Linked DNA regions of Bombyx mori. The protein of the gene in region 2 purifies or fractionates together with the protein of the main gene of each other region. This does not show direct contact. Links are inferred from orthologs where the notes say so. Each region holds a gene or a part of one and is shown on either strand. Other genes may lie near its edges.

Region 1 (4,361 bases), on a different chromosome or scaffold from region 2:
ACGTTACCAGAGTACGTAGGAAAAAAAAAAACTGACCGTATCTCTACCGAGCAATATCACCAACTCAGTGGAAGATTTTCGCTTTGTCGATAAACCTTAGTACCAGAGTACCATATATCAGACCTTCTCTTTAAGCAGCGAATCAATCATTTTGGCTCCCATGTCGTAGTTCGTTTCCATGTCGGTGGTCTTGAGGGTGAGACGGCCGACCCTGGCGCCGCCGCCCCCCGCCGCACGCTCCACTACCACCTCGACGACCTCCCCTTCAATTATCTCAGACTCCTCCCTGCGATTACGAATAATAAAATATCAATAAGGCAACGCTGGTACAAAAATCATATCGAAGGGTGAAAGTGGTCCAGCGGTCATCGTTCTTCAACCCACTGAGTTTCTCGCCGGATCTTCTCAGTAGGTAGCGATCCGGTGGCAGATTCTGAGAAGCTAGGCTCTTGCTAGGGTTCGTCTTAGCAACGTCATCAGGTTTGAGCCCTGTGGGCTAACCTACTCGCCCGGTGACGCTGACATAACCTCTCAAAGCTATCAGATAAGGTAGGAAAGAAAAACACACACACACACAAACATTAAAAAGACGTAAAGTCTAAACGACGTAACTAACTTTGAACGTCATTCTCAAGCTATAATGCGTTTCGCTTTGAAGGGTGGGGCCAGCCGTTGTTCTAAAGAACTCACGTCTCAAGATGACAATTACGTCATTGATGTCCACTGACCTCCATGGGCCGTGAGCATATTCACCCGTTTCAACGATGAAAAAATGAAATAAAAACCGTAAAAAAGTAATTTCGAATATACATACAATAATTCACATAGATTAAAGACATGAGTGGATGAAGGGGTTAAGTACAATTTTTAAGATTTTTGAGTTTTTACTTTGGATGAAGGTGTTATGTGCCTATAAACCATATTAGACCTTAAAACGCCAGGTTTAAAGGTTATATTTAGAAATTGAGGAAGGAGTTGTGTACGAAGAAAAAGTACAAGAAAGAAACGTTTTCTCAAAATTAACAAATTGTATCATATCCCCCTCATCCACTTATGTTTTCATGTAATATATGTTTACAATGTACCATACAAATTCTTAGTTAGTGCAATAGTAGTAGTAGTTAGTGGTATGTATAATGAACAATATAAAATTTTACTTACTTAATTCTAATACCTATAGACTTCCTGATGGCCTGCGTTAGAGCCTCAGTTTTACTCATTTCCAAAGAGAATATCTCCGAACCTGTCAAAGAGAAAACAATATAAATTTATTTCAATAAAATTAAATAGTTATTTTTTACTCTACCCATTTGCTAGTTTCCTATCGAACTATTCAGCTCCACCCGGACGGTTTATGAGCTCATTGGGTCAGCCTGAGAAATTTTGCTAATAAGCAAGCAAATATGGCCAAGCTAATGGATGAGAATCGCGATCAGCTAAGATCGGACGAGAAACTCACTGGGTTGTGTTTATGGATATATAAAAGTGAGAAACTAGGATATATTCATTGATGAGCGTCTTTCAAAGCTAACCATAAGTAACTTGAATCTCATGAAGATAGCTGAAACCAAAGCTGATCATGGTGGTAACAAAAATATCTAATTTACAGCAGAAGTTTTAGTCAGCCACACTCGCAAATTGATTTATTAAGGAACAATTAACATAGTACCATACAAATTATGCATTTTGATTTATTTATTAATTCTCTAATGCAATTAACACTTATTTTAGAATTATCAACTAAATGTAAAAAAACAACTGTGCCTGAATTATGTATTTAGAACATAATGCAGCTTAAATTTAAGGCAAACAAACTAACGAAATAAATTGAGGACTGACAAAAAAAAAGGTGAGTTGTATTAAAAAAAAAACACATGTAAATAATAAAAAAAGATGGTGGAATTGTTTCACTCACCGGCCATGCTCGTAAATGGTGTGTCCGGTCCCAGAGCTTGTGCTAGTCCCATAGCGATGGCAGTCTTCCCTGTACCAGGCTGACCGGCCAATAACACTGCTCGTCCCGCTATCTTACCTATAATTACAATATTGTAGATGTATGTGATATAAATTCACCTGTTGACCGGGCTGCGCTTAACTGGCGCCCACAAGGTTCCACTCAGTTTTTTATTACTCTACACTGCTTATCTAAACAAATTAGTTAAGTGATGAAAGAATATTATAACAAAAGGACATAGCAGTACCATAGAAAACGAGTTCATAAACATAACATTTTAGCTCCTAAGCCGCAAACTGTTTAATTGAAAAAAAAGTTTGAAAATTTCTTGTTACCTAGCAACTGTATTGTTTGATCAAAAAGTTTCCTTTAGGATACCTTCTCGAATCATCTGTAAGATGACTCCGGCGGCCTTCCTTGCCATCTTCTGGCCGACCATGCCCTGCGATACTTGTCTTGGCTCCAAAGAGTCATCTAAGCCCAGTCCTCTAATGTGGGAATGCGCGCCAATTCTCTCGATGCGCGTTATAGAACGCACTTCTTGTACTTGCGCCGCTGCTATTGACTAAAACGTACAATGACTTTTTTATTCTGAAGGAAAATCCCAATTTTACAATTTTTGAGGTTATGATTTCAGTTTAAATACACACTATTTACGAATTATACATAAAGCTTAGATACTTACAGCCATTTTCGTGGTATTTTAAACACTAGTGAGGTAGTTTTAATACTAATTAACTATGTTTTAAATGTAATTTTCACAAAAACAAATGCGGCGCTTTTGCGTGTTTGGTCTCCAAACAAATTTAACAAAACAGATTATACTACGTTAATGACATGACACTGACATTTGATTCGTCGTATACTTCGATGATCGCGACTGACAGCTGTCACCGAATGTATGTTTTCGTTAAGTTTCGATGTTAGATAGTTTTTTAGTTAGTTCGTCGTGCCACCTAATCCATGCGTTAGCCCGCTGAGTTTCTCGGTGGATATTCTCAGCGGGTTGCGATTCCGATCTAGTAGTAGATTCATTCGTAAAGCAGCTGTTTTTAGGTTGTAGGTCTCCTTTGAAGGCGCTTAGGAGCTGTTAGCAAATCCTAGCCCCCCTGGCTGAGCCTTTGTTCACCCATCTGTCCTGGTGAAATTGGAAAAGCCTCCGGGCCACCAGTAATCCCTCATTCATAAAAAAATTATCTCAAAAGACTTTCATGGTATTTTTAACAAAAATAACTCTGAATAAGAGAAAAGCTTATTTTTAATAGCCTTTTTCAAACACAATAGACATATAAACCAAGAGAACATCATTTCACTATGAATTTGATAAGATTTTCATAAACAAATTTTTAATATCGTTTTTTTTAACACCGAAACATTGTAGGACCATCCCTAATCAAACCAGCTCTCACTTTCATACAGCCACGGCTTTCACTCTATTTTTTATATATTTCGTTAGCTATACGACCTTATAGCTAGCCTATTAAGTTACCAGAGTGCGTAGACATCACAGTGGCTGAAGTCTCGTTTAATCACTGAAGTAGGAAACCTATGGAAATGAAACGTCAACAAAAAATTCGTGCCACTGTGACGTCATCTGGCCACAAAAGATGGCGGTTTTAGTGCTGCCCAGATGATTTTAATGTTAGTAGGTTTTATCGATAAACGTTCTTGGCTCATTTTATTTTAAATATTGTTGAGTGAATGTATTTGTCGAATTTATACTTTAATAGGAAGTAAGTATATTGTTATGTGCAAAGATGATGTGATTTAGATATTATGTGTAATCTAAGACGAGTTCGTGCTTTAAATTTGCCAAGTAAACGATATGACGATTTTTAAAATTTGCTACACTAATTTTATAAAGTTGTCGTTTGCCGCAAAACATAAAGATATGGCGTAGTACAGTGCCATCTGCCCATTTCGAGCATGCTGAATGATATCGTATTTTGAGTACGTGTTTTTCTTAGACTATTACAATCTATTTTAATTGTTTTGCTGACTCTAAAGTCCGTAACACACTACCGCAGCGCACCTCAAGGAAGGTACGCCGCACCATTTTAAACTTATCAAGGGACCGCCTGATAAAAAAAACACCTACAAAACATTTATTCGTTAATAAAATTACAAACATTCCTTGTGACTTCCTCTCTAAAATCACTTAATTATTAAATATTAAACGAGTTGACAATAGTGTTATAAAACTATTTTATTTAAATAGTTCCGACGACTTTCTTGAGATCCTATAAAATATGTTTTAATTATTATTTTTGTATGTTTTAAGCATGATAAAATAAGAAATTTTATATAAGCAATCATATTAAATCGATATCAAAGTCAATAAATAATGTAAAACCCAAAACAGACGGCCGAACTGACGTGACAATGACATTTGGCGCGCTAAACATGG
Region 2 (2,343 bases):
GTCTGTCCTCAAGCTTTCCCTTCTAGTCATATGCAGAACAAATATACTTGTTTGTACGATTACAAAGCCCTAGCTTATTGTGCTTTATTTATACACATTTCTACACAATCTATTCAATTTCTTCATAATTCCAGTGCCGAAGCAGACGCCACTATGGACACATCGGAGTCACCAGAGACAGCAGAACAACCAGCAGATGATTCTGTGCGCAAAGAGAAGAAAAAGAAAAAGAAGAAAGATAAACAAGAGGTTGATGAATGAATTTGATGTTGCAAAACAAACAGTTTGTAGATTTTAAACTGAGTTACGTTTAGATTTGAAAGACAACATTGTACAGCTTATATTAAGAAATTGCGTTTTTTGAATTCGACATACATTTATCAGTGATACAATAATCGGATATATAAATGTAAAAAGTTGGAGATTTCATATTGAATTAACAGAAACAAGATTAATGAAATAAGTATTATATTCGTAGCAGAAGGTATTTTCACAAAATTAAATGTAATTAATCTAATTTGTAATTAGAGAAAAAAAATTCCCACCATCTCTTATCAATAATATGTATGGAAATTTAAAAACAAAACTGCTATGTTAAGTATATCAAATTTATTGGTAAAATGGTACCCTTTATTGGAAAAATTTTGAAAACTAAACACAAAACTGGATTATTCAAAAAGTATCTAAAGTGAACATTTAATAACAAGGCAAGTTTAGGCAACTAGGAAAAATACTGATTACCTTCAAATTTAATTAAATTTCAATATGGCTGCTTTTCACGAGGGCCTTGACCTTGTCTCTCAGCTGATTCTGACAATTTGGTTACATTGTGTGTTGTCAAGAAACTTCAATAATAGTAATTTTAATTTTGAATATTAACTTCAAATCAAACTAAACTTTATGTTTTATTTTACTGAAATAGTTTCTTTACACACTAAGAATATTAAGTGTAATTACGAAGTAACATGTACCCATAAATATGTCATAAGAAATGGACATGGTATTAATTGAGAATGGTTCTCTTTTAAGCGTAAAAAATATAAGTAAATTCAAATTTTGATGTAGTTCCGTTTGGAATGGACAAATGTCTATGGCGTTTACAATATTTTAACTTTAGCAATATGTTACATTGTGATTTAGCACGTAAACTACTTAAAAAATACTGTTTTTTGAAGTTATACTTTTTAAGGCGCGTTATGAAAAATTGATGAGAGTGAAATTTTACGATGCGCGCGCACCGTGACACAAAATTAACAGAATGAAGTTGTCCACTAAATCGCTCATTACAATACAACCGACGTAACTTGGCGAGTCTGAATATAGCCGCAGGTGAACTTTCCGAACCGTACCGAGAATTACCGAATTTATACGATGTCAAGAAAAGGGATGTCAAATATGCGTGTTTGAGGATGTTGTTTAATCGATTTTTTTCAAATTGATTAAAATTTAAATAAAAAAAAAAAAATAAATTTAATAAAAATAAAGTAAATCTTCTTACGCGCGTACATAAGTACACGCACCCTTTTATATGTCTAATCTATTGTGTCAAAGAGAGTCTTAAACATTGTCAAAGAATATATGAGTCGTCTATTATCAAAGGTGGCAATCATTTGGACAAAAATTTTTTATTGATATGTCAATACAGATTGATTTGAATATAATCGTCTCCTTCAAAGAATACGGTTCAAAACCTGCATTAAATAAAGGTTAATAGTTAACCTATTATTATCTAAGATGTCGTTCCGAAGAGTTTTGTGACTGCCAATGGAATACAAAGTCAATAATTCGTTTTTCTGATTTACCAATCATTGTCCAAAAGTCAGATTGCCGGCTTTGATAATAGTCGACTCATATATTCTAATCCACATTTAATTGAGTAGTTAGTAATCTTTGACACTATTGTTGTGTTACAGATCCAATTTGATAATCCTATGCGTGTTCTAGCCACACACAACTCGACAAAATCTTTTGTGATTTTTTTTATATGAATATGCATTACATAAATAGAGTATGCATGTATAATAATAACTCCCAACTGCTCCAGACTCTCTTTTAACCGAGCTGAAATCATTTGCCTCAAAAAAAAAGGTTAGTCATTTCCGTTCTAAAACTCCAATCCATAAAATTGCAGAACTCAATGCTCAAATTGCTAAAGTTAAAATTTTGTAATTTGTCGTCGTTTATTAAAACATTGTACATTGTTAAGATAGTTTATAAGATTAGTTCATAAGTGGTACGAATGAATAATGAGGAATGATGTTTTTTTTTTTCAAAATAAAAGTCCCTAACAACTCTTTTGTATTTTTTAGTGCTTAAACTTAGATTCAGAAACAAAAACCTCAA
Region 3 (2,716 bases), on a different chromosome or scaffold from region 2:
ATAAACGTGTGAGAGAAATTGTCGGTCTTTCGGGGCCCCCTGAGAATGAGGGCTCTGGATAAGGGCCACGTGTACCCTTATGGTAAAGACGGTATTGTATACATAGAATAAAGAACCGTGCAATTACGACCAGAATTTTTTGTGCAACTGCAACGACTTGTGTTGCCATACTGAAAACAATGATATATAAAGTGTCAAGTTTAGGATTGCCCTAAACTAGGCTCAAGAGCGATCTGTGGTATCCTTCACTTGCTAAAGATATACCTGCCACAGTATTCAGTTTTCGGTTTTCGGTTTTCTTACTGTGTACCAGTGTATATTTTGAGAGTTTGCGTTACTTTACCTTAATTATGCTATTTAGTTAAAACTGCAATTTCAACACAGATCACTAATAGTCCACTAATCCTATTAACTGTCTTAAAAAGTTTTAACATATTTTTGCATCGTTTTGTACGCCCAAGCGTTTGAAAACTCTTCCAAGGATCGACTTAATTTTTAACAGAATAAAAGCAAATAAAACCGATGGCTGAATGAGGTATCATATTTATTATAGTATAAATATAATTTTTGGATAACCACACGTTCAGTATTGTTAAACAATAACTGCGATAACCGTAGTAAACTAATTGTAATCAACATGTGTAACTTTGACCTCGCAGGGAACGTTGGCCGCTCGACCTCGGATATACAGTACGCGCATTTATTTATCCAACAGAATATTCCTACTGGAAAGCGTTTTCAAATTTCTCTGGAACAACCTCTCTCACGAAGAGGTCAAGGTTACCCAAATTGTGTATTGATAATTACAGAGATTAAAACCTAAATCGTTGTACGCGGCCGCATTAAGTTCCGGGTGGGGGAGGGGGGCGGGTGAGCCAGTGCGGACCCGGGGTGGACATGAACACCGGAGCGTTGGTGCGGAAGGGACTGTGCAGGCGCGGAGAGCTTCCGAACTGGAACAGGCTTGAGAACGGAGGGGGCGCTGCCGGGTTATAGGGGGGCGGGGTGTTCGGGTTGAAGGGAGGGATGAAAGCCGATCCGTCTGCAGAGAGAGGGGGAGGTCTGCCGTGGCGCCTGGACCCGAGCGCGAAAGGATTGCGACCTCTGCTCGGCCCGCTACCGAATCTGCTATTCCACTCCGAAGGCCTCTGGTTCCGTCTCTCGACCGGTTTCCGAACGTTCCGGGACGTTTCTCCGTCGTTCTGAGTGTTCTCGTCTTCTTTGTTTTTCGTCTTGCGAGCCCGCGCCGCCCTGCGCTCCTCTTCGTCGTCGGAGTAGTCGATGTGACTAGGCGGCGGCTCGATGTCGTTCAGCCAAGAAGCGTCACAGCCTCTCACTCTGGAAGGAAGAAGAAAGAAAAATAAATTTGATATAATGATCTCCGATTACTAATGTTACACTTCGATAAAGCCGGTAACTACATTCCCGATCCTGCGGACATAATGGAAAGCAGTCGACGTCGCCCCAAACACGTCATTTCGGATCCTCCCGATCCACTAACGGTGCTTTCGGTACCACAAGCAGCGGTCATCGTTCTCGTCGAACCCGTCGCTTGCGACGAAGGGCTCGACGAGTAAATTAACCCTCAGACACAGCCCACTGAGTTTCTCGCCGGATCTTTTCAGTGGATCGATCGCGTTTCCGATCCGGTGGTAGATTCTGCGAAGCACGGCTATTGCTAGGGTTCGTGTTAGCAACGTCGTCAGGTTTGAGCCCCGTGAGCTCACCTACTAGCTAAGGCTACGCTGATATAGCCTCTCAAGGCTATCAGCTTAAGTAGGAATAAAAAAAAACCTAATGTTATGATGGCACTAAAAATGGCAAAGTAGCACTAATGAAAGTTCAACGGACCCGGGGATCTGTGGTGTCGAGACAACGGGAGGGCCTTATGCTAGTTGACTTTACTGTGTGTCAGAAATACACTATTTATGAAAACTAATTAATGTGTTATGTTCTTTTAAGGTAACAGTTAATTTGGTTTCGTAGTTGGTTTGACGATAATTAATAAATAAAAAACCCTGCAAACAAGTTTCAAATACAAACTCACTTCATCAGTTCTGATATAAATACGTAATTAGTGTGTTGGCTTTTTGGCGCGATGAATACTTCCATCCCGGTTTGTACGCCTCGTTCTTTGACGTGATCGAGTGAGTTGAACCGGACGCAATAGTGCGGCTCCGTTATCTGAAAATTAACAAAAAAAAAAACATACTAAACATATTTTTTTTTGCTTAGATAGGTGGACGAGCTCACAGCCCACCTGGTGTTAAGTGGTTACTGGAATCCACAGATAGACATCTACCACGTAAATGCGCCACCCGCCTTGAGATATAAGTTCTAAGGTCTCAGTATAGTTACAACGGCTGCCCCACCCTTCAAACAGAAAAGCATTACTGCTTCATGGCAGAAATAGGCAGGGTGGTGGTACCTACCCGCGCGGACTCCCAAGAGGTCCTACCACCAGTAATTTTAAAACATTGATATAATCACACAGGCAAAGAATACGGTATAGGATATTTAAATTAGTAAGCCGCCAGTCACATTTATATAACAGTATATATATATTTACCATAAACAAAAAAAAAATAGGACAGTTCAAATCTTTCACCACTGTATTATTCCAAATAATAAAAATGTAGACAAATTTCCATAAGCTATGTATTAATTCCTTTTTAATAACATTTTAATGCGTTTTCAGAGCCAAATGATATTGGAT

Evidence for each region.
Region 1: the proteins of H/ACA ribonucleoprotein complex subunit 4 (region 2) and ruvB-like 2 purify together in Homo sapiens (affinity purification with mass spectrometry; 5 studies listed by BioGRID and IntAct, counting the BioPlex papers as one, with this or other methods). This does not show direct contact. The link is inferred for Bombyx mori from reciprocal best matches to the Homo sapiens genes DKC1 and RUVBL2.
Region 3: the proteins of H/ACA ribonucleoprotein complex subunit 4 (region 2) and H/ACA ribonucleoprotein complex non-core subunit NAF1 purify together in Homo sapiens (co-immunoprecipitation; 7 studies listed by BioGRID and IntAct, counting the BioPlex papers as one, with this or other methods). This does not show direct contact. The link is inferred for Bombyx mori from reciprocal best matches to the Homo sapiens genes DKC1 and NAF1.

Annotation. Positions count from the first base shown.
Region 1 is NC_085117.1:3,009,006-3,013,366, reverse strand, and holds the start of ruvB-like 2, read right to left. Parts: upstream 2,835-4,361; 5' UTR 2,646-2,834; coding exon 2,640-2,645; intron 2,520-2,639; coding exon 2,333-2,519; intron 2,033-2,332; coding exon 1,916-2,032; intron 1,244-1,915; coding exon 1,162-1,243; intron 287-1,161; coding exon 124-286; intron 1-123. UniProt on the Homo sapiens protein: Possesses single-stranded DNA-stimulated ATPase and ATP-dependent DNA helicase (5' to 3') activity; hexamerization is thought to be critical for ATP hydrolysis and adjacent subunits in the ring-like structure contribute to the ATPase activity.
Region 2 is NC_085130.1:16,026,824-16,029,166, forward strand, and holds part of H/ACA ribonucleoprotein complex subunit 4, read left to right. Parts: intron 1-134; coding exon 135-261; 3' UTR 262-2,343.
Region 3 is NC_085109.1:2,572,592-2,575,307, reverse strand, and holds the end of H/ACA ribonucleoprotein complex non-core subunit NAF1, read right to left. Parts: intron 2,185-2,716; coding exon 2,048-2,184; intron 1,339-2,047; coding exon 843-1,338; 3' UTR 528-842; downstream 1-527. UniProt on the Homo sapiens protein: RNA-binding protein required for the maturation of box H/ACA snoRNPs complex and ribosome biogenesis.